Lonchura striata: one gene and its partners. The protein of the gene in region 4 interacts with the protein of the main gene of each other region in a pairwise test. Links are inferred from orthologs where the notes say so. Each region holds a gene or a part of one and is shown on either strand. Other genes may lie near its edges.

What was found.
Region 1: the proteins of RFX6 (region 4) and SS18L1 interact in binary tests that used the Homo sapiens proteins (3 or more experiments, as listed by UniProt). The two-hybrid records come from large-scale screens. The link is inferred for Lonchura striata from reciprocal best matches to the Homo sapiens genes RFX6 and SS18L1.
Region 2: the proteins of RFX6 (region 4) and FRS3 interact in binary tests that used the Homo sapiens proteins (3 or more experiments, as listed by UniProt). The two-hybrid records come from large-scale screens. The link is inferred for Lonchura striata from reciprocal best matches to the Homo sapiens genes RFX6 and FRS3.
Region 3: the proteins of RFX6 (region 4) and NEDD9 interact in binary tests that used the Homo sapiens proteins (3 or more experiments, as listed by UniProt). The two-hybrid records come from large-scale screens. The link is inferred for Lonchura striata from reciprocal best matches to the Homo sapiens genes RFX6 and NEDD9.

The regions. Positions count from the first base shown.
Region 1 is NC_134619.1:4,914,480-4,922,433, reverse strand, and holds the start of SS18L1 (calcium-responsive transactivator), read right to left. Parts: upstream 3,006-7,954; 5' UTR 2,831-3,005; coding exon 2,762-2,830; intron 168-2,761; coding exon 91-167; intron 1-90. Other genes in the region: PSMA7 (proteasome subunit alpha type-7), read left to right, coding at 3,925-4,020, 5,437-5,563, 6,413-6,537, 7,870-7,954. UniProt on the Homo sapiens protein: Transcriptional activator which is required for calcium-dependent dendritic growth and branching in cortical neurons. Recruits CREB-binding protein (CREBBP) to nuclear bodies.
Region 2 is NC_134632.1:101,072-108,326, forward strand, and holds the start of FRS3 (fibroblast growth factor receptor substrate 3), read right to left. Parts: upstream 3,008-7,255; 5' UTR 2,910-3,007; intron 1-2,909. UniProt on the Homo sapiens protein: Adapter protein that links FGF and NGF receptors to downstream signaling pathways. Involved in the activation of MAP kinases. Down-regulates ERK2 signaling by interfering with the phosphorylation and nuclear translocation of ERK2.
Region 3 is NC_134603.1:91,620,545-91,627,855, reverse strand, and holds the start of NEDD9 (enhancer of filamentation 1), read right to left. Parts: upstream 3,008-7,311; 5' UTR 2,949-3,007; coding exon 2,937-2,948; intron 1-2,936. UniProt on the Homo sapiens protein: Scaffolding protein which plays a central coordinating role for tyrosine-kinase-based signaling related to cell adhesion. As a focal adhesion protein, plays a role in embryonic fibroblast migration.
Region 4 is NC_134605.1:66,056,147-66,063,901, reverse strand, and holds the start of RFX6 (DNA-binding protein RFX6), read left to right. Parts: upstream 1-4,754; 5' UTR 4,755-4,798; coding exon 4,799-4,967; intron 4,968-5,112; coding exon 5,113-5,275; intron 5,276-6,827; coding exon 6,828-6,951; intron 6,952-7,755. UniProt on the Homo sapiens protein: Transcription factor required to direct islet cell differentiation during endocrine pancreas development. Specifically required for the differentiation of 4 of the 5 islet cell types and for the production of insulin.

The DNA of each region.
Region 1 (7,954 bases), on a different chromosome or scaffold from region 4:
AAGAGCAAACCAACAGCTGTGCCACTGAGCAAAGGAAGAGCCAGACTTCAGGAAACATTTCTAACAAACTCCCCAATTCATAATACTCACTGAGTACATTCTGCAGTTTTCCCCTTGCTCTGATAATCCATAATGCATTGTATTAGGTGGTGATTTTCATCTAGCATCTGCATAAAAGAAATAGGACCAAAACGTAACTATGAGAATTGTATAAAAGTCCTGTGTTTTTGTGATCCTCCACCCTCCTTGGCACTGGATGGTGTTTTGTGCAATTTTGTTGCCTTGGCTATTGTAAATTACCTACATGTGACTTTACTGAGCCACAAGGTTGATTTAATTATAAAAAGTTGTCTTTAAAGTAGTTACTTGAAATACGCATACAGCAGAATTAATGGACTTACCTTGTTCCTTAAATGGCAGATTAATTCTGATGCTGAAGAAGGAAAACACTTTCACTATGAATTATCTCCGCCTCATCCCAAAATATCACCCAACCCTTTCCAAAATGTCAGCTAATACTAATATTCCTACTTTTAAGTAGGAAACAAACTTTCAAACCATTAAACCTACTCCTTTTCCTGCACAAGACCAGAGCGTGCTGACAGCTGAACCTGATGAAGTATAAAATTTGCATCGCTGCAGCTACTGAAACCATGTTTAAGAGAATTACATCCCAGTGTGTCCTTACTTTTATTTCATGAGCTCATAAAATGATTAAAAGCTTAAAACATCCTTTGATTGGTTGTGAAATTTCAGATGCATTAGTTTGTCTCTTTCTCCCATATTTTTTGTGACTGCAGCGCACTTTCTCCAGGTGAATGAATAAAAAAAAAAAATATCAGCACGCAGAAATTTAGATTTTCCTCTGGCATAATAGATTTTGTAGATATCACTGCTATCAAGGGCTTGCAAGATTGAGCCTTTGAACCACTGTGTCATCAGGGCAGGAGAGCTCTTGAGGAAAGAACCATTTCTGGTTCAGAACTGAATTTTGCTGCCCTGGAAATGCTATATGATGAACTATTTTAGAGCAGCACCACCACTACTCTATTGCCAAAAGCTCTAACTTCCTCCGTGTGAAAGCTATTTTAGGAATATTTGATACTGGGATAAGAACAGCTTTGAAAGTTTATTAAAATTGAGTTAATAAATAAAAAAAACCCTGTTTATATAATAGGAATGCAAATAAGAATAATATTTTTTCATTGAAATTTGTATATGTTCTCAAAAGCTCACTTTAATGAAGACTTCTGGAGATTTTTTTTTCTCCTGCTCTCTCTGCTCCATTGCCATCCTTGACTATAAATCCCATCCAGTTCCTGTGCCTGCAAGTCTGTTCCTTAGCATTGCTGTTTGTCAAAGAGAAAATCACTGCCAACAGTCCAACACTCATGAACAGTCCCAAAGTAACCTGACAGCAAATGCACCTGAGATGGGAAATGCTTCCACTCATTACTTTTAGAGAAAGAACATTTTGAAGCTTCCACAAAGTTTATGAATATGCAAAAAGGGCTTGAAAATCGAACAGAAGATACTTTATCTGCCCTTTGTCTGTGGGTGTGGGTATAATGACAAACAACTGAATTATGAAATAATTCCAACTGATTTGGAGGTTAGAGGAAAAACTTACCAAGTCTGAAATATTTCAGTATTTAAAATGAATTGGTTCACAACACCACGTGCTGCAAGAGCTCCACAAAATGGGATGTTTCCAAACAGTCTCCTGAGATGCAAGTCATCTCTCCAGCCTCTCTCCTGGCAGTTCTTTCTGCCCTCATCTCTGCCCTGTCACACGCTACCACTGAGGGAATTTTTGTCCCCTAGAAGTCATAAATTGACAGCGGATCATGGCTTGGCTGCACAGCCCCTGGTGACAGGTTAATGGCTGTGTTGGCAGTGGCACTTCTGCCCTGGTCACCGGCAGCGAAGGGACCGCACGGAGCTCACACCTGGCTCACAGCACACCTGGAGCCACGGGAACGGCCACAATGACAGCAAAAGTGCACCTGACAAACAGCAGCACTACAACCATGCACGTTCTTTATTGCCATTCCCAGCCTCGCTGCTCCTGGCCGTCACCTTCTGCAGGAGAAGGGTGCCAGGGTCTGCTTGTGCTGCCAATCCTGGGAAATAGGAAACAATAACTTCCCAACTCAGCACCCTCTGATTTGGCCTCCACATGACACCCATGTGGGGATCTCCTCTCCAGAGAAAATCTTTCCAAACCTTTGTTTGTCATTAAACATCAATAAACACATCACAATAATAGTAGTTTATGAAAAATACCAGTGGCTGGTGCTCCCTCTATCTTCTGAGAGATTAAAATTCTGCATCCAGATACAAAAGAAAACCCTTGCAAATTCAGTATTTTATTTCAATTCATTTTTTCAGGTTGGATTCTTTGGGGGCCAGAAGCTGACGTACCATCATAAATTAACCGCATATTTGCAAATTTTATTGCCGTTTCCCAATGTATGCTTGGCAGCGTTTCCCCTTGGCGAGCAGCAGGGATAACGTGCCATCCCGATTTTATTCCCTACGTCCTTCTCTCGCTCTCTTTGCAGCGATCTGAACACCTTTGCTTTGTTCCACCTCCTCCTCCTCCTCCTCCTTCCCCCACCTCTCTCACTCCAGCTGTCCATCTCTGCAGCCCTCGCAAATTCACGAGTTTTCCTGATCGCCCTAGAAATCAGCCTCCAGCTGCAGGAGCATGGACAGAATAAATGTCTAAAATTGTCTGTATAAAAGCATGCTCTTTTACCTTCTGGATAGTTTGCTGGGTGACCTCCCCTTTGCCTCTTGGGCGAGCAGAAGCAAAGGCAACCGACATGGTGGGGGATTTTTATGTGTCTATAATATATCGGTTCCAGGCTCTAATAATATTGTTATTATCTGGCTGCTATTGCCGTGCGAGGATTCTCCGCAGTGCACGGGGAGGGGGGCGGCCGCAGATGGTACGATCTGCGCCCCGCGAACACCCGCGGGCGCCGCGCCCCGCGCCGCCGGGCACCGCCCCCGCCGCGCCCCCCGAGCCCCCCGAGGCGGCGGGGCGGCGGCGGCGGCGGCGATGCGGGGAGGGAGCGGGAGCGGCGCCGCCGCCGCCTCCCCGCCGCCCGCACATGGTGCGGTCCCGGCCGCCGGGCTCCCGCGGCCTCGGCCGCGCCGCCCGCTGCGCCAACTGCGTACGCCGAGTGCGCCAGCGCGGGAGCGGCGCGGGGCCGCCTACGCCAAGTGCGCAGCGAGGGGACAGCGGGCGGGGGACGGGGGCGGCCAGGGCAGCCCGGCGACACGGGGACGGGGGCGGCCAGGGCAGCCCGGCGACACGGGGACGGGGGCGGCCAGGGCAGCCCGGCGACACGGGGACGGGCACGGGGCTCCTCTGCGGCACGAGAGGCCGGGAGAATCGCGGCTGTTCAGCCTGGCGTCGGGGTGACCCAGCTGTGCCTCTCCAGTACCCCCAAGGTGATGCACAGCAAGGATGGGGCAAGGCTGTTTACAAGAGAGGGCAGTGGCAGGACAAGGGGAACGCGTTCAGATTGGAAAAGAGCAGGTTTGGGTGAGATAAGAGGGAAATCTTCCCTGCGAGGGCGGCGAGGCACTGGCACGGAGAAGCTGCCCTATGCCTAGAAGTGTCCAAGCCGGGGTTGGACGGGGCTGGGAGCAACGTGGGATAGTGGAAGGCGTCCCTGTCCATGGCAGGGGGTGATTTTTGGGGTCACCTCCACCCAAACCCTTCCGGATTCCCTGCGGAACGCGCGGGGCGCGCGCGCAGCCGAGCGCGTACGCTGAGTGCGTACGCCGAGCACGTACGCCGGGTGCGTACGCCGGGTGCGTACGCCGGGTGCGTACGCCGAGCGCGCAGCGCAGGAGCGCAGCGCCCCGCCCCCGGCCCGCCCGGATGACGGTGCGGGTTCTGCCGGAGCCATGAGCTACGACCGCGCCATCACCGTCTTCTCGCCGGACGGGCACCTCTTCCAGGTGGAGTACGCGCAGGAGGCGGTCAAGAAGGGCTCCACGGCGGTGAGTGGCTGGCCGCGGGGCTGGCGGCGCGGCGGCGGAGGGGACCCGCGGCCGGGCCTGCGCCGCGCTGCGCGCCCGGCCCGGCGGGCCCGGGAGGCCGCGGGGTGCGCGGGGACCATCCGCGGGGACCATCCGCGGGGACCATCCGCGGGGACCATCCGCGGGGAGCATCCGCGGGGAGCATCCGCGGGGACCATCCGCGGGGAGCATCCGCGGGGTGCGCGGGGACCATCCGCGGGGAGCATCCGCGGGGAGCATCCGCGGGGACCATCCGCGGGGAGCATCCGCGGGGAGCATCCGCGGGGAGCATCCGCGGGGAGCATCCGCGGGGTGCGCGGGGAGCATCCGCCGGCCCCGGGGCTGCCCCGGCGCATCCCTCCCGCGGGTATCCGCTCCTCCCTGCGGACTGCGGGGTTTGTGTTTGTGCACCAGGCAGAGCCCCAGCGCCTTGGGAAACACCAAGCCCTTAGAAGCACATCGATGGCTCCCACCTTCTAGTTATCCCAAGCTTTTCCTCAATCAGAGTTTTGTTTCATTTAGGGGAGGAGAAAAAAGGTGTTAATTTGCAAATACCGTTGTATTGGTGATTGTGATACGTTCTAGTAATAGTAAATTTTAATTCCAAAAAGTCATGGCTATATTAATAGTTGTAGTATGTTTTAGTTGCCATTACCAGAAAGAGAATGTACCATCATTGGGATTGGAATGACTGTAACAAAATCCAGTGCCAAATAGATTCTTCGGTTTTCTCAGACATTAAAAATACTGTGAAAGTGGAGACAGCATACAATGTAACCACCCCTCTTGTCTCTTGTTGAGTTTCATGTTTCTAGAAACATTTGGAACATGCTCATGTGGCTGCCCCACAATAAAAAATTATTGCCATCCCCCTGTGACAAACAGTGAGGATGAAGGGGAAGGGTCAAGGGTTGTTTTTTCCTCTGTGATGTTGGAACAGGTATATTCAAGGTATGGATTAGGACTTTAAGGCAGCTACAGGCAGAACATTTTGGCAGTTGTAGGGTTACTTGGTAAGGTGTTACCTGATCTTCAGCGCCTTGGGCTCCTGAGTTGAGCAGTGCCACTGGACTAGCCGGGTTTTCATGGCTGTGGAAACACTGATGGTGCTGTTGGAGAAAAGAGTTTGTAAGAGGAGCTGGAATCTGTCTCTTGGGAGCCACAGGGATTTAGGTTGTTATAAACTGATGATGAAACTGCACCCTGAAATTCATTGCAATTTTTGTTACATCAGTGCTGCCTCCGGGTTGTGGGAAATAAAATCCTGACTTCAAGCTGAGGTGGTGGTTACAGTGTGGGGGTTTGTGCTTGGTTACTGCTCATTTGAGTAAAGTCTGCAGCTGTGAGGATTTTTGGACCTGGGTTAACTTTTTTACTTCTTCTTTTCATGCACGGAAGGTTGGAGTAAGAGGGAAGGATATTGTTGTCCTTGGTGTGGAGAAGAAGTCCGTGGCAAAGCTGCAGGATGAGAGAACTGTCAGGAAGATCTGTGCTCTGGATGACAATGTCTGCATGGCTTTTGCAGGTACATGGTGCCTTCGGGGCTTTGGCAGTTACTGGGGCACCTTTGGGCATGTTTATGGAATCTGAGAACCCAAAATACAGGGTGTAACTGGCCGAGAGCTGTGGGAAGCACAATATTTCCACAGTAGCTTATTCTTTTTTTTTTTTTTTTTTTTTTTTAATAGGGAAAAAGAGAGTGTCAGTATCAATAATGTTTTTAAAGGGAGACCTGATTTAACTGACTAAAACAACAGGTTTAGGTTCAGTGTGCAGGAATGAGAGGCTCAGTTCTTTCTCCTGCCTTGCTCCTTTAGCCAGGGTCTGGGATATGTGCAGGGGTGTTCACAAACTTGAGGAAAAATTCTCTAATAAACACAAGGCTGTAAGTGAAAAATGGCAGCATTAGCTAAAAAGTAAATAATAATAAGAATTAAATAACAATTAAATTTCTTTAAAATATTTTTTTTAAATGGTCACACTTTTGTCAGCTAACATCATGCTGCTGTAGCCCCATTAACTAGATGAAGTTTGCTGGGCAGATGAAACTGGACTGCATGAGGAATAATGTGTGTGGGAATGAGCATTGCAAATCACCTGGGACATTGAATGCTGTCAGTAATACTCCCATTACCTGGTTCAGAATTATGTGTCACCTAAGTCACAAACATGGAAGCTGTAAACTAAATCCTTTAGTCATTTTTGTGCATTAACCACTTTCTGCTGCCTTACAAATACTCTTGCTCAGCAAACCTGAGAGTTTGACCTCTGCCTTTATTTTCCCTTGTTTTTGACACTGGCCCCGTGGGCCTTTTAGGGCCAGATTGGTGTTCTGAGGTTTTTTCATGACTCTGAGGCCCCTCTGTCATTTCAGGGCTGACAGCTGATGCCAGGATAGTCATAAACAGAGCTCGGGTGGAGTGTCAGAGCCACAGGCTCACTGTGGAGGATCCTGTCACCGTGGAGTACATCACACGCTACATTGCCAGCCTGAAACAGGTACTTGGGGCTGCACAGAGCTGCTGAGGATGTGTCCTGACCTGACAGAGATGTTTTATTTGCTGTTGTGCTATGCATAATGTACAGTTAGGTGTGGAACAGGTGTGTACCACGTGGGACTAGAGTGTCACACGTGTAGCACGAGCCACACCTTGTGTAGCATGGAATATCTGACACTTCTTCAAGCTGTGTAAATGTCTGTGCTCTGGCCTCACTCCACTTACTTGGTAAAAATCACATTTATTGGGAATGGGGATGTAGCAATGGAAAAGAACAGTTGAGTGAGTGCTGTTTGATCTGAGTTTTTTCCCCTAGATAAAGCAACTAGTTCTTGTAAGGACTGCACAGTTCCATGTGTTAATGTCATCAGAACACCCTGCTCATCTCACTTCCAGATAGCCTGGGTTACTGTCTTTGCTTCATGCTCCTGGTAGTTTTTCCTCTTGCAAAGCCATTGCAGAGATGGGTAAGAGGGGAGCAAATTGGTGCAGTATTTAATATGTTTTGTAGTTTAGAATGAATTGCAGCATCAAAATATGCCCAGCTGCATTCTGTGAGAAAATTACTCCTTTGCCAGTGTATTAAACTGATTTTCAGCCACTAGCGAGAATTAGAGAAAATTTAATTTACTTATGCACAGATGTGTTAGAGCAGTGGTGATGGTAATAATATGATTCTTTAGTGGTAATAGTAATAATCTCTGCAGTATAATCTCTCTTGCTCTGTAGTCTGTCAGAGCAAGGCACCACTACCCGAGTTTCACTTTGTTCCTTTATCCAGTCTCACGTTTGTGTCTGTTTTTCTGGCACACCATTTCTCTCACGCTGTTGCAAACACACCTGGCCCAGCTCCTGCTGCTGTGGTGCTGTGGGTGTCAGCCCTCCTGCCCCTGGGAGTGACACTGCAGTGGCTTTGCTAGGAGTGTCCCAGGAGGGCTGTGACACAGCTCCAGTGTAACCTGTGTACAGCCACGGAGCTGCCATGATTTCATGTGCAGTCAGTGCAAATCATTGGTGAAAACTGTGTTCAGGTGTCCTCGTGGTATTTTTTGGCACACTGGGGCTTGCAGACCTGGCTCTGGCTGCCTCAGCACCACTCAGCAGGTGGAGAGGTGATTCTGGAAGCTGTAACCAGGTGTAGGAACAGGGGTTGGACAGGAATCACTTCTCGCTTGCCTGCCTTGGGGACTCCATGAAATACAGAGTCCTGACTAATGGAGAGAGCAAATGAACAGCATTTCTGGTAGCTCTGCTGGTTGTAACTGCTCCAGAGTGTGCTGTGCAGCCTAGGAATGTGTTCAGAAGTGCCTGAGAGTGTGTCCTTTGTGCTCAGAGGTACACGCAGAGCAACGGCCGCCGGCCCTTTGGGATCTCCGCCCTCATCGTGGGCTTCGACTTCGATGGGACCCCACGGCTGT
Region 2 (7,255 bases), on a different chromosome or scaffold from region 4:
GAATGATGCCAGGTGTGCCCTGAGAGCAGCTCAGTGTCTCCACCTGATCCACCAGGACCCCCAGCCTGGGATGGAAATGGCAATTTGGGAACCCTCTTTCCATTGGGAAACTTTTTCCATTGGGAACCTCCTTCCATTGGAAACCCCTTTCCATTGGAAACCTCTTTCTACAGAAAATCTCTTTCCATTTGGAACCTCTTTCCATTTGGAACCTCTTTCCATTGGAAACCTCCTTCCATTGGAACCTCCCTCCATTGGGAACATCCTTCTGCTGGAAACATCTTTCTGCTGGAAACCTCTTTCCATTAGAAACCTCTTTCACTGGAAACCCCTTTCCATTGGAACCCCTTTCCTTTTGGAACCCCTTTCCATTGAAACCCATTCCATTTAGAACCTCTTTCCATTGGAAACTCCTTCCATTGGAAACCTCTTTCCTTTTGGAACCCCTTTCCATTAGGACCTTCTTCATTGGAAACCTCCTTCTGATGGAAACCTCTTTCCATTAGAAACCTCTTTCACTGGACACCCCTTTCCCTTTGGAACCCCTTTCCATTGTTTCCATTGAAACCTATTCCATTTAGAACCTCTTTCAATTGGAAACTCCTTCCATTTGGAACCCCTTTCCATTGGAAACCCCTTTCCATTGGAATCCCTTTCTATTGGAACCCCTCTCCATTGGAAACCTCTTTCCATTAGGAGCCTCCTTCACTGGAAACCTCTTCCTGCTGCAAACATCTTTTCTACTGGAAACCTCTTTCCATTGGAAAACTTTTTCCATTGGGAACCTCTTTCTATGGGAAACCCCTTTCCATTTGGAACGCCTTTCCATTTGGAACCCCTTTCCATTGGGACCCTCTCCCTCTGCCAGAATCTGCCTCCTCCTCCTGCTCCTGCTCCTGCTCCTCCTCCTCCTCCTCCTCCTCCTCCTCCTCCTCCTCTCCTGCTCCTGCTCCTGCTCCAAACGAAACCCGGGGCCGTGGGGTGGCAGAGCTCCCTGGGCCCTTTCCAGTGCAGAGCGAGGGGAAAGAGCCCCACTTGAGCTGCCCAAGGGTCCCACTCCACTTTCACATCAAAACAGCCCCATCAATCACCTCCCACTGCCCCTCTGCGCTTCCCTTCGGCCCCTGGAGAACTCCTCACCATGGCCCAGCCCTGCCAAGTGCCCAGAAGAGGAAAAGTTTCTTTCTGTGCACGCTGAGAGCAAACAAAGCCGGTGCCAGCTGCCCTCCTGCACACACCTGCCCGCCCTCGAGCGGCACCACGCCTTGCCTGTGCCACCCCACCCCTGCTCCTTGGCCTGGGCTCAGCGTGGATTTGTTCCCCTCACAAGCTCATTTAGCACAGATCCTGCTCCATCCCACCTGGGCACTGCGGGCTGGCTCCTCTCCCCACTCCCACCTCAGCAATTCCCTCAGGAATAAGGGCTGGGAGAAAACATTCTGCTATTCCTTCACTCCTCTCCCCCCATCCCCACCTACGAGGGGCCAGCCTGAAGTGCTGTGGCTCACCAAGGACGATTCTTACACCGAGAACTGAACAAATGAACTAAAAAACCACCAGGAGCTCCCCGAGCGCTCCCTGGGCGCTTCCCGCTGCTCCTGGCTGGGGGAATATTTCAGCAGCATTCCTCCCACACAGAATTCCACTGGGAATCGCCAGGCTCCTGCTCTGCACTTCCAGCTCACCTTCCCACACCTGTTTGCCAGCCCAGAGCCCAGCCAGTCCCTAAAACCACCCCAGCACGGCTCCCACAGCAGCACTGGGACCCTCCTGAGGCCACCAGCCCCATCCAGACCCTCAGGATCCCAACCCAAATCCTCCTCAGCCCTGCCTGGACCAGGCTTTCCCAAATTCCCAGGTTGTTCCCACCCTCCCAAACCCTCAGCCTGCAGAAGCCACTCCTGCCTTCATCCTCCTTAAACCCAGAGCGGGGGAAGCAGCATTCCCTAATCCCAAAGGGCCAGGGGGACACCCCGACACCCCCTGCACAGGGACACACGGACAGCTCGTGTGGAAAAGCTCCTGGGCCCACATCAACCCCTCCAGGACACGTGGGGACAGACCCAACGCGGCATCCCAGGAAAAGGAGGGAGCAAGGATGGCAAGGAGAAGGGGATGGAGGGAAGAGGAAAGGGATGGGGGACTGAGGAGGGGGCTGCAGGGAGGAAGAAGGGGATGGAGAGAGGAGGAACTGCATGGAGGGACGGGGAAGGGGATGAAGAGACTGGGAAGGGGATGCAGGGATGGGGAAAGGGATGGAGGAAGGCGGAAGGGGCTGCAGGAATGAGGAGGATGGGGCTGCAGGGACATGGAGGGAGGAGGAGGGGGATGGAGGGATGAGGAAGGGGATGGAGGGAGGAGGAGGGGGATGGAGGGAGGAGGACAGGGATAGAGAGAGGAGGAAGACGATGAAGGGATGAGGAAGGGGATGGAGGGAGGAGGACGGGGATGAGGGGATGAGGAAGGGGATGAGGGGATGAGGACGGGGATGAAGGGATAAGGATAAAGGGAGGAGGACGGGGATGGAGGGAGGAGGAGGGGGCTGGAGGGATGAGGATGAGGATGGAGGGATGAGGAAGGGGATGGAGGGATGAGGAAGGGGATGGAGGGAGGAGGACGGGGATGGAGGGATGAGGAAGGGGATGGAGGGAGGAGGACGGGGATGGAGGGAGGAGGAAGGGGATGGAGGGAGGAGGAAGGGGATTAGGGGATGAGGATGAAGGGGTGAGGATGGAGGGATGAGGACGGGGATGGAGGGATGAGGACGGGCCTGCAGAGCCCGCGGGAACGAGGGGCCTGAGGAAGGGGCGAGCCCCGGGGGTACCGGGAATTGCCGGGGCAGCGCGGGGAGCGCCGGCGGGAGGGGACGGGGGCGATGCCGCGGCCCCGCTCCAGGCGCGGCTCGGTACCTGAGGCGCTCCCGGCTCCGCCGTCCGGGAAGCTGCGGCGCCCAGGAGCCCCCGGCCCGGCCCTTCCCGGGGCCCGGAGCGTGTCGGGGCCCCCGGCCCGGCCCTGCCCCCGGCCGGCCCGGCGGCTCCGGGGGTCCCGGTGGGGCCCGGAGCGATCGGGGCCGGGCCGGGCCCGCCGGAGCAGCGACACCGCCCGCGCCGCCGCCAGGGGGCGCCGGGGGGCGCCGGGGGCGGAGCAGGAGGGGCGGGGCTTGGGTGGGCGGGGCTTGGGGTGGGCGGGGCTTGGGTGGGCGGGGCCTGGTGGTAAGGGGTGAATGGGAGAGGATTTGGGGTCTGGGAGAGGATTTGGGGTCAGTGAGAGGATTTTGGGTCTGTGAGAGGTTTTGGGCTTAGCGAGAGGATTTGGGGTCAGCGAGAGGATTTGGGGTCAGCGAGAGGATTTGGGGTCAGTGAGAGGATTTGGGGTCAGCGAGAGGATTTGGGGTCAGTGAGAGGATTTGGGGTCTGTGAGAGGTTTTGGGGTCAGTGAAAGGATTTGGAGGTCAGGGAGTGGGTTTGGGGGTCAGTGAGAGGATTTGGGGGTCTGGGAAATGAGAGGTTTTGGGGTCAGTGAGAGGTTTTGGGGGTGAGAGAGTGGGTTTGGGGGTCTGGGAGAGAATTGGGGGTCATTGAGAGGATTTTGGGGTCAGTGAGAGGATTTTGGGTCTGTGAGAGGATTTGGGGGTCTGGGAAATGAGAGGTTTTGGGGGTCAGTGAGAGGTTTTGCAGTCAGTGAGAGGATTTTGTGTCTGTGAGAGGTTTTGGGGGTCAGGGAGTGGGTTTGGGGGTCTGGGGAGGGAGAGGGGCTCTGGGGGTCAATGCAGGGGGATTTGGGGGGATCTGGGCTGGAGGATTGCTGAAGGAAGGGTCAGTGGAAGGAGATTTGGGGGGGGTTGGGATCAAAGGAGGGGGATTTGGGGACTCTGGGGTTGAAGGGGTGTCCTGGGGTGTCTGGGGTGTCCTGCCCTCCGAGGGGACACTGCTGCCACTGTCACCGCGGCGCAGTGGCCGATGCCACCTGGGAAAGCCCCGAGTGCCCTGGCTGTCCCTGTGTCTGTCCCTGTGCCCACGGAGGACTTTGCCCGTGGATCTCTCTGCCCTGGGGAGGGATGGAGGAGCATGGGGGGAGCGGGGGACAAGGGGGGCCCTGTCACCACCCGCGGGGACAAAGTCCCAGGCAGGAACTGGGCCCAGAGAAAGCTGCAGGACCGAGCTCCCAGCGAGGCCAAGCAGCAGTGACAGCGTGGGGACATCGGGGACCTCCAAGGGACCCTGCCAAGTGTGGAGGTGCTCACCCCTCCTCCTCCTCCTCCTGCTTCTCCCCCTGCTCAGGGCATTTTTCAAAGTGTCCTCAAATGGTTTGGGTTGGAAAGGACTTTAAAAATCCCTTTCCTGCCACGGACAATTTCCAGGTTGCTCCAAGTGGTGCCTTACCCGGCCTACCTAAAACAGAGGCCAGACAGAATGAAGGGAATAAAAAAGCAGTTTTATTTACTGAAGGGCCTCCAGGTACATTTAGGACAGATGAAGCCCACCCAAAAACGGACCATGTGTCAGGGGTTTCATGCTTTTATAAGTTTGGGTCATTTGCGTATTGGGGGTTAATCTTCCAATTAAAGCTTCAGGTAATGAAGTTGTTTTACCCCAAGTTTGCTCCTCCCCAACTCCCTTTTGTTCCCATCTCTCTGGCTTGAGGCAGTGAGGTGTCCTTGATTCCAGGCCTGGAGAGGGATTGTTTTGGAAAAATGGGAAAGCAGCAGCTCCCACTGTGTATGGAGTTTAGATTTACACACTAAAGAACTGCAGGATTACAAATGTATGGAAATGATAAAAGCTGAATTCCTAAGGCATCGCAAAACCCATCCAACCTGGCCTTGGACACTTCCATGAGGCAGCCCCACAACCTGTGCCCAACACCCCTGCACGGCCTCGCCCAGCGGTGCCACGGGCTTGTCACAGAGCCTGGCACCTCCTCTGCCAAATTGCCATCCCTGTGCGTTTTTTTTGCAGTGCCACCCTGATCCCAGAGCCTCCGACACCCCTCGGGGCTCCCAAAACGAGCCACAGCTCCCGGCACCACGCAGGAGGCAGAGATCCAGCCTGGTCCCCGCAGACGTGGGGGGGTTTTTGGGGATGCTGCGTCCTCTGTCATCCCCAAAGTCACGTCAGCGGGCAGGAAAATCTTACAGCACGCTGAGAAACGCACAGAAACACCAACAGGACGCTGTGCCTCGCGTCAGGCTCTGCTAAATTTTCCCCTGAGTCCTGCCCGGGTGGAATTGCTGCAGCCGGAGCCGGTCTTGGAATGGCTCGGAGGAGCCTCGTCAGGTGTTCAGGGCTTGTGGAAACTGGGACATCCTGACTTGCCGCTGGCTAACTCCTTTGTGAGAGCCCAGCCAAAGTTTCTCCACCTCTAAATTGGGGTGTAATGACACTTCCCCCTCTTTCATGAAGCTTCAACTCTTTCTGATCTCGGCAGGGAAATAAATCACCGCGCGGGATCATAAAAGCCATCAAACGGCAACCCGGGGTGAACCGAGCCGCAGATGGAGGGAAGGGCGCGGGCGCTCGGAAAATGAGAGGTAGGAGCGAGCCAGATGTCACCGGCAGCTCTTTCCCCTGTAGGGTTAATGTCCCCCCCCTTTCCCCTCCCTGCCTGCCCTGGAATTCCAGCCATTGGCTGCCTCCCGAGGTTTAGGCTAAAAAGCCTCTAATTAGGACCCCGGCTGCCGCGGAGCCAGTGCCTGGGCAGGCAGGGAAAAAATAAAAGAGAGAGAGGAAAGAAAGAAAGAAAGAAAAGAAAAAACAACAACAAAAAAAGCGTTTCCCCGACGGAGCTTGGATGTTTTCCTTTCGCTTTGCAAAGTTTCCCCAGCCCAGGCTCCGTTCGCTCGCGTCCTCCGGAGCAGGGCGGGACGGCGGCGGCCGGCGCGGGGCTGGAGCGGGCGGCCGAGCCCGGAGCGGCGGAGCGCGGGGCCCGGAGCGCCGGGAAGGGGCAGGTACGAGCGGCTGGAAGCGACTCCCGAGCGCGGCTCTCCCGGCTCCGAGCGGGGATGGAGCTGCGGGAGAGGGAGCTTGGGAGGAGGGGGCAGCGGGAGGGTCCTGCTGCCGGGGGAAGGGGACGAGGCGGAGCGGGGGGATTTTGGCTGTTTGGAGGTTTGTTGTTTTGGGTTTTTTTGGAGGGAGATGATATCGCTGTCCCCGCCGTCTTTGTTTCCGGGAAATGTCCCCTGAGAGCAGGAGGTGACGCCCGGTCCATCGTGCCAGGCTCTGCCAGCCCTGAGCCGGGCAGGTGCGCTGCACCATCCCTGCTCCAGCTGGGATTGGCCGGGAATGGGATATTTGGGGATGGGGGATGGAGCTGGGCCCCTTCGGACGTCTGGTGGCCACAGGGAGGGGTGGGGGGCTTCGTTCTGGTGGTCACAGGGAGAGGCGGGGGGCGAATCTTCATCCCGGGGGCTGCAGGCAGACGAGGGGCGGGGGTCTCGGTCCGTAGCTGCGGGTGTCCGGATGGCTGAGCCAGGCTGGGTTAATGGGTTACTGCTCCCTGCCGTGCTGTGGGACTGAGGGCAAGCACGGCGGGAAAAGCCTCTGGCAGCGCTGGCACATCCCCTGGTGAGCCAACGGGCCGCTGTCCCCTCCGGTGACACGGGTGACACGGTGCGGTGCGGCAGAGCAGGATGCTGAGACCCTCCCCCATCATTTGGGGGGCTGCAAAGGCGTTTTTAAAGCCCAGCAGTGGCACCGAGGGCCGCTCCACCTGGTGCCACCCCAGGTCCAAAAGGCACCGTGGGCTCCCCACGAGACCAGCTGCAGGTCGGGCAGGACCTGCTGCTCCGGCTCTCCCTGCCAGGCCTCAGCTTATCTCGCCCCAAAAGATGCATCTTTATTGCTCTGCATCTTTATTTCTCCGCATCTTTATTCCTGCTCCTCCAGCGCAGCTGTGTTGACGGGAGCTCAAGCAGAAACAGGTTATCCCGTGGGTGAGGCCAGCGTGGAGCTGTGCCCCTGGGAGCTGCCGGCGCTGCTTTGAGGGGCTTTTTGGAGATGTTGTGTTTCCTGCAGAAGCAAAGTTGAGGCAGGGATGGGAACAAGGGAGCCTGTGCTGAATTCCAAGCAGGCTGGGGTGGCTGCGCTCCAAGTTAATGTGTGACCTTGGCAGCAGAGGGCTGGGAGCCCACACGGGCTCCCACAGCCAGCTGGAGACAGGGGCTGCTGCCGGCGAGCCAGATCAGATCAGTATTCCCAGGAATTCCAGCCTCTTGTACCCAGGGAGCCGCGACGGCTTCCGATCCTTTCGGAGAGTT
Region 3 (7,311 bases), on a different chromosome or scaffold from region 4:
CCCTGGCTACCATATACCCTCTCCCATCCATATCCTTCCCTCATCACAGTAACCCACTGTACAAGGTACACGTACAGTGTACATGGTAGCTGTAACTGCTCCATCCTTGGAGTCATAGCCTGTGTTTGGTTTCAGAAAAGGCTGATCCTACCTCTTAGGTTACAGAATACTGGAATGGAGTCCTGTGAGAACTTGAAGGGTTGTAGCTTTGTTGTACATAAGGATTTAGCTCAAAAGCAAGCTACTGTCATTAAAGAACTGAGGTGCTGCCTTCATGCAACTGCACCCCTACAGGAATTTCTGAAAGTTTTCTACAGTTTCTGAAACTAGCTTTTAGACAAGCAGGACTAAGACCAACACAAGAATTTCTTATGCTTAACCATTTCTATCTTTCCATAGCTCAGTTAAAATAACTTCTGTGTTCTCAGGCATTTAAGTGCTACATGAACGGGAGAACAGGACTTGACCTGGGGTTAAATTTCTCTTTGCTTTAAATAGTCACAGAATCACTGAATTTCACACAGTGTGCAAAAGTTAGACAGTGATGTAGAGAAATATGTAACGTAAATTCTGAACTTCCTTAAATCCACGGGGATTTTCCCTTTCAGAGGATTCACATTGACGGAAGTATGCAATGGACAATAAAAGCAGCTTAGATGAAGGAAGAGAGGAAGGAACAAGTTTTGAAGATGTCTGAATAAAAAACTCTATAGATTGTGTAGCAGAAAGGATTTCTAGACCAGGAATGACCTTGGGTTTAGTCACACTGAAAGCAAAGTCATGAGTGACGGAGAGATGTATTCAGGATCTCACCCATGAATCAGTTCCTGTTCTGTCCTACTGTTAAAATTCTGAATTAAGCTATAATGAGCATTTCACTTATTTCTTTAAATGAGGCCTTATGGGCTATCACAATGAAAGTAAGGAGTGACATCCCCCAGTACAACACTGGGAGCAGTTAAACAGAGACAAATCTACACCTGGATGCTAAGCCTCCTCTGAAGTGATGATATGTCCCCAGGCAGCCCATTAGCATTCTACGTTCCTTTATTTCATGTGTACAATAAAAAAAAAAATGTTTTCCTATAGGAAGATAAAAGAAAGAGAGAAAATACAGAAAGAAAAAAGACCAAGTGTGCAGGTGTTTTCTTTGTGTGTTACACTAGGGATATGAAATAGATCTAAGAATGTTTGTCCCAGTTAAACAGCGTAACTGCTTCACAATTCCCAGGGAAAGTAACAACCATAATCCAGCAAGAAGGCTTTTGAGGCCAAACCCCTCAATCTTCTTTTTATTTATTTATTTTTAATGGCTTGTTCTTTTCTCCATCTAGCCTTCTCTGTCTAGAATTACGTAATCACAAACCAAATCCACAATGCTCATTCCCACAACACAGGGCAAAGGAAACATTACAGAACAGGGAAGACTTCCCCCTTTTGAGTCACCTTATCTGTCCCTATTCTTGCAGTGCCACTGGCCTACATACAGAAATCAGGAAGCTGTATAACTATGCAGGACCATTACTTTGCTACTGGGATACAAGTGTTGCCTGGCCCTGGGCAGCCTGAAAGAAGACTGTGAGCTTTGGACTAACAGCAACACTGTTCTTCTACTCCCGAGTGCCTGATGTTTTCAGTTCAGAGTAACAGCTTCTCTGGGCAGGTGTAAAGTCTACCTGGACTGATCAGAGGTGGAGTAGATAGAAGAGATGAGATTAATTTTATCTCAGACTTGAAATCAATCAGTTGTTTGAGACACAATTTAAAAAAGAAAGCCATGAGCTCCACATCAAAATTGTGAAAGCCATGGATTACCTTTGTCAACCCGCATCTAACACAATTTCTTTTCCCCTTGTCCTTCCATGAGATGGTGAAATTGGCAGTTGCTTTGGAAACTTAACTCTGACCTTTCCCAAAGTTTGGCTTGAGAGACCCTGAAAACTTGGCCTGAGCTCAGAGACGTACAGAACAACATAAAAACCTGTGCACATTTACCTGGGTATCACTCGTACTTCTCACACACACTGCCACTCCATCAGCACTCTTTCAGACCATGCTGCCTAAGTTTAGTTCCAAGATGGACTTCACTTCCAAAGTAACTTAGTCTCCAAGTATATAGCGTGTGACATTTCCAAAATCACCTTTTTATTGACACTGAAGTTATTTTTGGCTGGGCAAGGAAAGTTTTTCCTTCCCTCCCCCTTTTTTTCCAATCACACAAGATTACGGTATGTCTGTACAGTAATCTAATGCCCCGTGGGCAATTCTGTACCTTGCCCAGACATTTTTGAGTAATATTAGGATGAAAGGCTCCACATTTGTGTCTTTTGAAAAAAGTAAAAAAACCAAAAAACCAACCAACCGCCACCCCTTCTGGTAAAAGGTCGCTAAAAGCGATTTTAATAAGCGGGGATGATAGGAATTAACACGGGGCATAGGCTACCCATTAAAAAAAAATGTTAGGGTTCTTTTTTTCCCCCCTCGCTTGTGATCCATCAAACAGACCGCACCGTGATGAGGAGTCATCCACAAGCGCCTGGAAGGAGGTGCATGAGCTCCCGGGGAGGATCGGGGGTACCTGTCCCAAACGCGCCTGGCCATCACGCACCGCATCCCCACCTTTCCCGCGATCCCGGGCTCACCCCGTTATTCAGGGCCGGCACCAGCGGGAAAAGCGAGAGGAGCTCCTTCTCCCCGCACAGCCAACACCGACACAGCACCCGGGGGTCCCCGCAGCCCGTCCCCTTCGCTGCCCCCTCGTTTCCCACTCCCCGCCGACACCTTCCCTGGGGCTCCGCGCCTGGAGACAGCGCAGCGGAGGGCAGAAGGGAGACCTGGCCGGCCCGTGAGCACACGGCTCGCCTTGAGGAGGTGCGGAGGGGAGCCCCGGGCCGTCCGGGGGCTGCCGTGCGGGCTCCGCGCCCCGCCGCGCTCACCTTGTACTTCATGGCTGCGCCTCCGCGCCCCGCCGCATCCCCACGCGCTCTGCGCGCCCCGCCGCGCGCCGCCGCGCCAGCCCTGCGCGCTCATTTGCATGGCACCGCCCCCACAACCGCGCAGCCAATGGCCGGCCCCGCCCCGGCGCCCCGCCCACGCGCTCCGGCCGCGGCGGCGCCGCCGGAGGGGGTGCGGAGCGGGGCGGCGGGGACGCGGGTTCGGGACCGGGTGCGGCGCCTTCCGCCACTTCCCTCCGCCGATGGCCGCGGAGAGAGAGCCCCGCACAGAGCGAGGGCTGGCGGCTCTCCTCCCCGGAACCCTTTCTGCCTTTTCGAAGCTGCTCGCCTTTACTTTTCCCCGGCGGAAAAGGACCTGGGGGCACGGGTCGACAGGCTGAACAGGAGGCAGCGTGTGCCCAGGAGGGTATCCTGGCCTGGGTCAGCACTAGTGTGGCCAGCAGGACCAGGGCAGTTATCCTTTGTATTGGGAACTGGGAGGCCACGCCGCAAGTCCTGTGTCCACTGCTGGGCCTCTCACTGAAAGACCTTCAGGTGCTGGAGCAGGTCCAGAGAAGGGCAACGGAGCTGGTGATGGGTCTGGTGCAAGTCCTGTGAAGGGAGACTGAGGAACTTGGGGGTGTTTAGCCTGGAGAAAAAGAGGCTGGTGGGGGACCTGATCACTCTCTGTAACCACCTGATATGAGGTGGGTCTCTCCTCCCTGGTGGGTCTCTCCTCCCAGGCAGCCAGCAACAGGACAAGAGAACATAGCCTCAAGATGTTCAGGTTGAACAGGAAGAATTTCTTAATTCAAAGGGTGTGTAACCCATTTGAATCCGCTGCCCAGGAAGGTGGTTGAGTCACCAACCCTGCAAGTGTTCAAGAAGCAGCTGGACATGGCACTCAGTGCCATGGCCTAGTTGACATGGTGTTTGGTCAAGGGTTGGACTTGATGACCTCAGAGACCTTTTCCAGCCTAACTGATGCTGTGATTCTGTGAACCTTTTCTGTCCATCCCTCCCACAGGCATTTTTCTCACATGTAGCTCTTGGAGGCGCTGAACACTGCTTGTTCATGTCTTTGCAATTATTTTTATTCTCACTTGTCTTCAGAAGATATCTACTACTGCTCAAATCAATCTGCCAAGTGTTCACTTTGCCTGGTTGCTATTTTAACGCTGATTAGACACCAGAGGCCAAGAATGCTTTAATGGCCTGGAGATGTTCATTATAAAGAGTGACCATTGTAAATAAGGATTATTTGGAAGAGAGTAATAATTAACTCTGGTATCTTGGAAGCAAGAAAGAGTGGGGAAAATAGATGTGTGGTGATCCTCCATGCTTTTCAAGTTAGATCTCTTAATCAGGCATGATTAATATGGTACACACAATAGGAGGGATCTTTGTATAGGGGACATACTCCAGATTGTTTAGAGGAACGGGAAATAAATTCTCTCCTTTTTGCCCAAGCTGAATCTTACTCAACATTTTTAGGTCACAAATGGACTCAAGGCTATTTCTGATGGCCTAAGGAAAAATAGCAAAGAATAATCTTGTACTAGCAGATTACAAACATAACTACATTCCATAGTACAATGTTATCCTTAAATTCTCATGTGACTAATCCTCTAGAGAGGGATCCTATTGCTAAAATGGTTTCTTGATTGATAAAGAATGTCATACTTTTATCTGCAATCTCCTCTGTTCTCCAATTCCAGCATAAAATATGTGGCTGTACTCTACAAATTTACTAAATGAATGCAAAAATGCTTTTTTCTTTCCTGTGATGTCTTATTGACTGCACATGCCATAATAGCTCATGGGTGTGTGTCCCTGTCAGTGCAAAATAAGTCTTGGAAATTAGTGAAAGGAGCAAGCTCCTCCTTTCTGCAGTGCAGAAGACCCACTGTGGCTGGGCTGTAGCTTTACTGCCCCAGCCTCTTGTAGAGGTTTTTCTCTGGGCCTTTCTTTCCATTTTTGTTGTTGCTGTTGATTCTTCTGATTTTCCAAGAAGAAATGGGAAACAGATGACATTTTATATGCACTGGGTTTAGGGCGGGATTATTTTAAGTGCAGCATCAATATAAATATGGGTAGTTTCAAGAGAATAAAACTCACTTGTATGCTGTGTCCTTAGACACTTTACTTAAGAAAGGACTTCTTCCCGTGATTATGTATAACCAGCTTACTATTAAAAGAGTGCAAATCTCTCTGGAGCATTTCTTAATTGAAGAGTTAAGAATCAAAGAAACACTGTTTTTCGTTTTGCATGTTTTTGTTCTTCATACTCCAAGTAGAAAATTAGATACAGAAGATGCAATAGCTGAGGTGTTAGCATGGTATTGGACTAGCATCCAGATCCTCTTCCCTGAATAAATTCTGTATAATCTCTTCCCATGGCACCATTACCATGAAGATAAACGCATTAAGGATTGTAAAACCACATCATCAAGAACCAATAAGTATTGGGGACAAAAATAAGTAACATCATATTTCTGACTTCACCTATATTTAAACTCTGACAGCATCTGGTTTGCAGTCATCCCACCAACAGTGATACTTTTCTTGTAATTGGTGTTTTCTCAGAATGCTTTACAATCACATTATGAAACTTAAGAACATTTGAGAAGCTGTGCCTTCTGCTATTATTTTAGCTTGCATTGCTTTTAATGTATGTAAAAAGTCCCTGACTGATTTTAATATGAGTTAACAGATGTGTTAATATGAAATTCTAGTTGGAGTGTTCCTGTGTGTGTATTGTTTTGCCTTTATCGCTCTCCATAACTCTTATTAAATACTTTTACTTAGATGCCACTGGAATGACACTGGGCACAAACCCATAAAGTCTGTCAGTGTTGGTAGCTGTACTTTACAACTCTGAAGGAGCAGACACAAGAGCTGGTATTTTACAGGGAGAAAAAGAGATTGCCATGGCACACCATTGCACAGTGAAGTCCCACTGCTCATTTATTCATGCACTCTCCCTCCACCTCTCTCACCTACTCCATTTACCCTGAGGGGGTTTTTAATTTCCCCCAAGGTGAAACACTCCTACTCAGAGGGACACTCGTAGCAGGGCCAGCAGCATGACAGAGCTCCATGGTCTATCACGGATATCGGGAATTAGATATACCTTGAAAGAGAGATTTGCAAACGTGAGCCGCTAAGCTCCTCCTGTTGTGAGAAGTTGGGATTGTGGCAGGCACGTCTGTGGTTAGTGCAAGCACCCCGCTGTTCTTGTTGACCTTGGCAGCGGCCGTGCCTTTGCTATGTAATATTGTATTTCAGGCACAGCCTAGGGAAGTTTTGAGTCGGTTGCCTTGGATAATCAGCTCAATTATACAATGCAACTTGCTGATGAGGAAGCTGGGACCAGGCATTACTGATGTCTGTGTTTCAGAGGCAACTTGAGCTATATTGCCAGGATTTATAACTACAGGGTCCTATTGAAGTTCTCAGGAGGGTAATTCATGTAATGTGCCTCTTTTGCTTCACAGCACAGCAATGGTTTGATTCACTGCCTCATATTTATTCCACTGCAATTCTAGCAGAGTGGCAAATGGATTCTGTGACTTCGTCTTGTGCCTCTGTCAATGGCTTTTGTTTATTTCTTTGCTTTTGCTGAGGGCAATTAATATTACTCTCTGCTCATTTGGGCAACCTACTGCTTGCCTCCTGCTCTCATACCCCATCCTGCTGAGTTTATCGCACGCTTTATTTCTAATCATGTCTCTGCTCTGTGTCTTCCCATGGCCCTCCTGGTTGCCAGCTGAGGTGCTGAGGTGTCTGGGAGGTGGCAGCAGGTGAAGTTATCACTGTGGGGCAGCCACAGGGACTGCTTATCAGCTGGGCTCTGCGGCTGGCCTGCCACAGCCCTCGGCGTACAGCATGGAACAGAGCTGCTGGCAGGCTGGGAAGGGAATACCCGCTGAAGCACATCAGCCAGCTATCACCTTGTGACAATTGAGAGGGGAACATGAGACAGATATCCTGCTCTGAAAGGTTACTCAAACAAAAATCCCCTTGTTCCCATTTCCCCATTGACACAATCTGAGAAAAGAGAGACACAGCAGAGTGTCTCCCTCACAGTTGAGAGAGTCTTTTCAGGAAGGGTCTGTGAGCTCTGTGTTTGGGAAACATTGAGCTTTTTTTTTTTTTTTTCCCTCTTCACAAAGGCCTAACTATCTCTTGGATAATGTTGCGCAGCATCTGCATTTCTTCTTGCTGTGATACTTGACCAGGGAGTGTGGATTAAAATTGACTTAGTTATAGTGCCACTGCACTTTCTGAGCATAGGAGTAATAATTAGCTTCACGTCCTGTCCCCTATATAATGCTACGCAGGCTGGTTCAGCAGATATGGAGTAGATGGAATTTCT
Region 4 (7,755 bases):
AGACAAGGAAATACCCTATTAAACATCACCATCTACTGGATGCCAACACTTGTTCCTTATAAAGGGAACTGAAAGCTTCTATGTTGAATTAGCTTGTCAGACAAGCTGAAGCTTTCAAAGATCTGGCCCTGCTTGTAAAGTTATTGGCAGGGCAACGTTTGTGGATCTTTTCCATACCAAGCTGGGAAAAGATCTTCAGAATTATGAAAACTCAGAAAGCTCAGGGTGATATATCAAAAGCTATGAAATGGTTAATAAGGCAGAATGAGAACCTACAAAAAGAAGATGGGAATAGTCAGACATGGGGGCAGTAGCATCCTTTGGGTGATCAATTTATCTTCTTGTGGTATTTTTGTGTAGAAACACACACACACACACACACACACACACACACACACACACACACACACAGATTCCCGATGGAGTTCAGTGCTTCTCCTCCTGCATAGTTTGTTCTGATGCTGTTCCACAGCTTTGAATATTAACTTTTCACTCTGTTGGCTGCACAGATAAAGTTCAGCCATATTTGTGTGATTTTACAGCATCACACAGAGCTTGTTGAAGTCAAAAGGCACCATTGTAGATTGCACTCCCCTGCTATAGCTGTTGAGCTGGACAAGCTGGGCAACGAAAGATCCTCCTTCCCACTGAGAGCAGAAGTCTCCAGCCCCACTTTGAAGGATGCTGCTTCCCTTGTCTGGTGCCCTCCCTTCACTTTCACATCTTTCTCTACCTTCTTGTACAAGCACGAGAGAAGCCACAGCACAAACTGGCAGCAGTAGGTGATTATTTTCCTTATTTTCCTCTGTGGTAGAAGAGACCCAATGGAAAAGTGCTAAAATTTGAGGGCAGTCTCCTTTCTTTCCCTTTGCTTTCTCTAAGGTTTCACTTGATTGCATGTACAAAACTGGTGACTCAAGACACCAGAAAGAAAAAAATTCTTTAGAGAAATCACTTAGCAAAAATTGCTGATGTATAAAAAACCTTGAGAAGGGCTCAGAAAAACAATTGCAAAGAAAAAGAATTTTCCCTTATCACTGAGTGATGTTCTCAAGCCATCATTACAGTAAATATTTCAAAATGAATGATTCAATAATTATTGGAAACAATAAAGCTAAGATTTTGGAGGATGTTTCAATTTGTTTCAAATTTGATCCTTTAATTAATAGAAATTCTTATCTAAGGAAATTTTTGTGATAAAAATCTATTCTTGGATATATGCCTTCAAAAGGTGTTGCCAGTGACACCATCAAATGCAGGAGCTCTTAGCTTAGTGAAACAATATTTTTTTTTCATTTTCAAGATGCAAATACTCTCAAAAAGTAAACAATGAGATGTGGAAAGGACCAAAATAAATGGGAAAGCTATCTTGTTTGAATTGGTGGTGATTAAAACTGTTTCTTGCAAGGAGTCACAGAAAACCAGAAATGGAGTTTCAGGGAGAGCTAAACAGATTCATGCTATGTCAAAGCAGAGAGAATGACAAACACGGACAATTATGACAAATTAACTTATTATAACTTTGTAGAGTACTGGTAGGCATCATACTTTACTTTTATTGCACTGTCAGCATATTTGGAAAGAAATAGGTGTTAGAGTCTATCAAACAGTCCTGGCATCAACACAGTATCAGGACTTCTGTGTAGTTAATTTGTCTGGGAAGGATATGAGGTGAAACAGTTTCCAACACTTAAGTAAACATCATGCAGGATTGCACAGGAACAGATCAATAACAAATTGTATTTCTATTGCTGCATTTATCTTCCAAACATTTTGCAGTTCAAAACAGTGAAACCCTCAGGCAGGTTGTTGTTAATGGCAAGTCACACTGATATGAATAAAGTTGAAAAATGTTTTGTTTTCATGTGCTGTGTTGGCAAAAAGGAAAAGAAACACTGCAGCAAGATGAAGTGGTGCAATACCTGAGTGCTGATATAAAAGACATTTCACATGTAAGTTATAGAAACACATAATTATGTTGTCCTACGGAGCACCTGTATCTGATCATTTGCCCCAGCCTATACAAAAGACTGTTGAATTTTGGTGAGATTAAATAATTACAAAATTCACCTAAAACCTAGCAATGCTTCCTAGGCTGTCAGTACAGACCTAGAAGGGAAACATATTTATGAGAAGATTGTCTGCTTCACTGAGTATTGTGCTTGGTATGAATTACCTCTAGGAGACACCTTTTCTTCTCCACTGACTCTAAAGGGAGACTGAGGTGAACAGAGTAGACTAAGAGAACTAACTCTGAAAACGTGTTGCATGCCTCAAGTACAAATTATAGAATCATAGATTAGTTTGGGTCGGAAGAGACCTTTGAAGTTCATGTAGTTCAATCCTCCTGCAATGTGCAGGAACATCTCCAACTATATCAGGCTGCTCAGAGCTCCATCCCATCCAGCATTATTTTGTTTCCAGGGATGATGCATGCTGCATGCACACACCTTGTCAGTCATCTTTGGGCATATGTGCATATATATATATATATATATATATATATATATATATATATATATATAATGTATAGGTCTCTGTGTGTATGCACAATTTTTGAATAGGAAAATTCTAAAAAACCAAATATACATGGATATGTGTTTTAACAGTTCTACTTCATAATCCGATTTTATTCAGTACCAAACAATATGGACCATGATTCTCAACAGACATACTCCAGAACTATATTAAAAATTTCTAGGCACAAAAAATGCTATGATGTTCTTGGTACTTGTGGTTTCAGCTAGCCCAATTCTATACCTGTCCCATCCTTTCTGTCTCCCAAAAGCTGAAATTATACATTTGGGTGGACTGCTGACTCCAGCAAGAGAGAGCTTAAATGTAGGGTAGGAGTGACCACCTGCCATAGCTTTTGGTGTCTGTCCTTTGCTTCAGCAGGATTACAGATGCTTGCTGCAGGGTGGAAACTAACTAGTCCCTTGGCTGGACCCTTTACTCATTTTATCCCTGTGTTGACAATGATGGATAGAATTCATTAGTGTCACTGAGAATATTCTGCCACCATAAGAATCCTGCCCTTTAAGAACAAATAGCTACATTTAGCTCCATAATACCAAAATACCATGTTCAATGTCACATTCGATTTTGATCACAACAGATTCAACACAACAATATATAGCTGAGAGGTTTTATTATACCATGGAAATACTGGTCAGGGTGGACCAAATAGTGAGCACCTGTGCTAGTGCTCAAGCCAGCCAAAAGTCAGAGGGTCAAATGAGATTTTACTATGACCTGAAACAAAGCCATTGGAACCAGATGCTGAACTGTCCCAGTGAGTTACAGTAAGAACTGACACAGGCACGTGTGGTCAAAGCCATATGTAGCATCACTTACTTGAAGTAGGAAGGAAACATGTAAACAGGGAAGAAATATTGACTGGAGTAATTGGTAACAAAAGAAATATATTTTACACAGTGGAGGGAAGAGGTGTAAGCAGAACAGCAGAAAGTTCGGTTTAATGCCATTTTTTACTCTGGGACCTTCTCATAGGTCTGCCTTGGGTCTGAAGTCCAAAATTTATTCTTACGATAAGGTTTTGGGTCTTTCAGCAGATATAGGCACACCTCGGGTTTTGTTAAATATGGATTTGATGATAGCTAATCTGACAATGCATCTCTGCAGGAGTGGAAACGGTAATTTTGCTGCTTTCTAATGCTAGTGGTATCCATGACTTGAGGTGCAACAGAAGACTGGAAGAGAGTAGAAAGAAAACAGCTGTTCATGAGCTTTGTGTTTGTGACAGCCCAGCACTACCTGATGGCTCAAAGAATGCTTCACAATTCATCCACTATAATATTTCAGGACTGCTTGCTATCACAAGTCATAGTACAATATCCCAGTCCTTACAGGACAACACCTAACATTTTGTTTTAATGAGAATTTATTAAAACAGTAGATGCAGCAGTGATCAGAACTAGATCTCCATCCTACTGACAATTTTGTTCTCTGGAAAAATCAAGGACCACTTTCTGTGATTCTCTCCTTCCATCTCACAGACAGCATGCTAGAATGGAGCAAAGCAAGGACACGTCTGCCAGAAGAATGTACAAAATAAAGATGTTTTGCTCCATCACCCACAAAATTACGCTGGAAATTAAGGAAATACGGACAGTGATAGACAGTGCCCAGGAGGGTCCCACGACTGGCCCTGCGGCGGTCAGGAGGCAGCTGCGAAGCGCAGAGCGCCCCTCGGCCGGAGGGGAGAGCGAGGGGAGGCTCTGCGGCCGCCCCTGCCCTGAAGGGCCGGGCGGACGCTGCGGCCGCCCCCGCCTCGGCCGCGGCGGGCCGGGAGCTGCTCCCTGACACCAGCCGGAGCCGCCGCCGGCGGGAGTTAATCATTAAATCCCCGGCAGATCCGCTCCCGGCCGGCTCCCCGAGCCTCCTCGGCCTCCAGCCGTGCCCTGTCCCCTTCTGGCTTGACGGAGCCCGGCGGCGGGAGTGGAAGCGGAGGCGGGGAAGGAGACACCTCCCCGCCGCCCGACGGCCGCCTGCGGGCCCGGTGCGAGGCGGAGCCGCGGGCGGGCGGGCAGGGACAAGGAGCCATGTCGCCTCCCGGGACGGCGCCCTAGGGCACACCTGTGCCCCGCTGCCGCCCCCGCATCGCTTCTCCTCCGCTTCACAGCGGCGCTCGGCCGGCACCGGCTCCGTCGCGGTGCGGAGCCCCGTTCCGCGCGTTGGACGGCGCCCCGCGCCCTCAGGTCCGCTCCCGTCCCCTCCCGCCGCCCATGGGCGCCGCCCGCGCCGCGCCGGGGCAGAGCCGGCGCCACTGAGGAGCATGGCCAAGGGACCCGAGCAGGGGGACGCCTTCCTGCACCTCCCGGCCGCGCAGGCCGTGCCCGCCGAGGCGCAGGAGGAGCGCTACGCGGGGCTGCTGGGGCGAAGCTTGCTGCCCTGCGCCCGGGAGGCGCCGCCCGAGCCGCCGCTGTCCGCCGGCATCAAGGCAGGTAAGGGCGAGGAGCAGCGGCAGCCGCGGCTGCCGGGCCGGCCCCTCAGCCCGCGGCGGGCTGGGCGGCAGGCGGGAGGGAGTGCCTTGTTGCGGGACCGTAACGATGCCCTCGGCCCTCTCTTCTTGTCCCCCGCGGCGCTCAGAAACACGCTTCGGCAGCGGAGCACTCTCCTCGGAAGAAGAGGATGCGGATGCTCGCGACGGCGCGCTGACAGCCGCCGACCAAAGCCAAAGCCCGTCCTCGAAGAAGAGCATCACGCAGATCATGAAGGACAAGAAGAAGCAGACGCAGCTCACCCTGCAATGGTAGGGCTCCAGAGAGACCCCGCTGTCCGCCCTGGGGGCTCCAGGACCGAGCCGGCTCGTCCGTCACATTCAAAGGGACTCTTCTCTAACAGCTGAGCTGGCGAGGAGGGCGACATTTCTTTTAGAAAGAATTTGTAATTTCTGGGGTGTTTCGTTTGTTGATTTTGTTTTCTGTTTTTGTTTTGCGGGTTTCTTTTGGATGAGCCTTATCTGCAAATAAGGACACCCATCCCCAAATTTCTGAGTTTTGAAATTGCCAAAGGTTTGTCACTTCATACAAGTCTCAGATTCTCACACTCTGTGGCTATCAATGAAATGTATAATCAAAATGTAGAAATGAAACATTATTTAAAAATCGCATTTGTAGAATGGCTGCTTTAATTATACTTTAAGGCTGTGACAGATTTTCACTGTCTTATTATGCATTTGATTTACATTATGTTCTCTGACCCATTGAGGCCCTAACTTTAGTTTAGTTTATCTGGGGAAAAAAGTTAACCAAAGAAGAGGTCAGATTCTGCAGACATTAATTGATAAATGTTTATATCAAAATACACTTGAAATTAGGGAGAAGTTCTGTTGAATTAAATGGAAACTTAATTCAGAAATGTAGACTGTCAATAGAGTTATTTTTTCCTTCTAACTGAAAAATTAGACTAATCCAAATTATTCAATTTCTTATTCTAGTTTACTTCTGAGTGTAAATAGTTAAGGATTTAAGTCTGGTGAGTCAGTGTAAAATTATTCACTATGCAGCGCTTACTACACAGTATTTTATTACAAATTTGTGTAATTTGAGAAACAAATTTATTGCACATCATCCCAGGAGTAGTGAACAATGTAAAATTATAAAGAAAAAAAAATCAACAGGACAAAGAAATACCTAGCTGTTACAAAGGGTACCCTTCAAGTGAAAACAGTCAGGTTTTTGCTTCAGTTTTAAAAATTTTACTTTAATGACCATCACTCAGCACTTGTATTCTGTAAACTGATTGGGAATCTACATAGAAATTCACCTTCTTATAAAAATGCTGTTGTTTGTTTTTTTCCACTGTGGTTTGAAGCATATCCAGGTCCAGAGTGGAAATTAAAAAGCAAAACAATGAAGAAAAGAGACAGTAGCTCAGGTGTTGAGGATACAGTGGGACAGAAGATGCAAGTCCAGGTCCCTGCTCTTAAATCCTCTCAAAGGACTGACTTAAACACAGGTCTTTTATAGTCTAGTTAAGACTCTTATTTTCAGACTAAGGCTGACTCTTCGGTGATGATAATTTAGTTATTTAAATAAAGCAAAAAAGTCCAGACATTGAAAAAGACTCATTAACAACAGGGATCTGGCTCCAGGTTTTCAATATTCTGCAGCTAGCCTAAGCACCAAGTCTGTAGTGCCTGTCATGTTTCAGGAGAAACTCATCTGTGTGCTCTGATGGAATTTTTCAGTAACATTTTAAAAAAGAAGACCAACTGGGAAAAAAGAGAGCAAAAACTGGGAAATGCAATCAGGAGAAATGGCATGTTGCTTCTTACTCTGGCAGTTTCCTTCTCTACACAGGCTAGAAGAAAACTACATTGTATGTGAAGGAGTTTGTTTACCAAGATGCATCCTTTATGCACATTATTTAGACTTCTGCAGAAAAGAGAAGCTGGAACCTGCCTGTGCTGCAACTTTTGGGAAGGTAATAAGCAAATGCCTTAATAATTTGTTAGATCAGTTGTTTGGAAGAGTCGCAGTTTAGTACATCTGTGTAAGAATTCTTCCGAAATTTTCTACTGCTCATGTACATGGAATCAGACTAACTACACTGTCTCCTATGAAGGCATTTCTTAACATCACCTTTAGGAGACTGAAGCTGAAATTCCCTTTTTGTTCATGACATTAATAAGTTCTTTCCACAAAAACATGGAGGACACTTACAAATATACTAAAGACAGTGTAAGGTGAGATGTGACACATGCAATACTGCTAGAAGGGGAAAAGAAATTAATAACACAGAGAGCTTCTAAATAGAAAATTGTTGATTCATTCTCTTTTTACCCTTCTCTACAATTAATCCTTAAGTAATTTAATGTAAGAAAGATGTGAACTCTCCAGATTAAATCCTGAGTATTTAGTGAAACAGGAAACCAAAAATGCTTCAAGGATCATCTTTTTTAAGCACTAGTGATCTAGTAATGGTTTATACATAGCAAAATGCATTAATGTAATTAAATAATGGATTTAAAATCTGGTTCATAAAATGTTAATTTCCTATTTTATTCCTCTTGAACTGGATATACTAAAAAAGTGGATATTTAATTTTCATACACAGTTTTAGTATAAATGAGAAAGACAATAAGTTCAATGTAAAATTTTGGCAGTGATATGTCTGTTAGACATACCTATTAGATCTACCTCTATTACTGAATTAATTTTTCAGATCACACTTTCAAATAAAAAAATCAATTTCTTTCTAGTTGTTTGTCTTTGAAAACAGCATAGC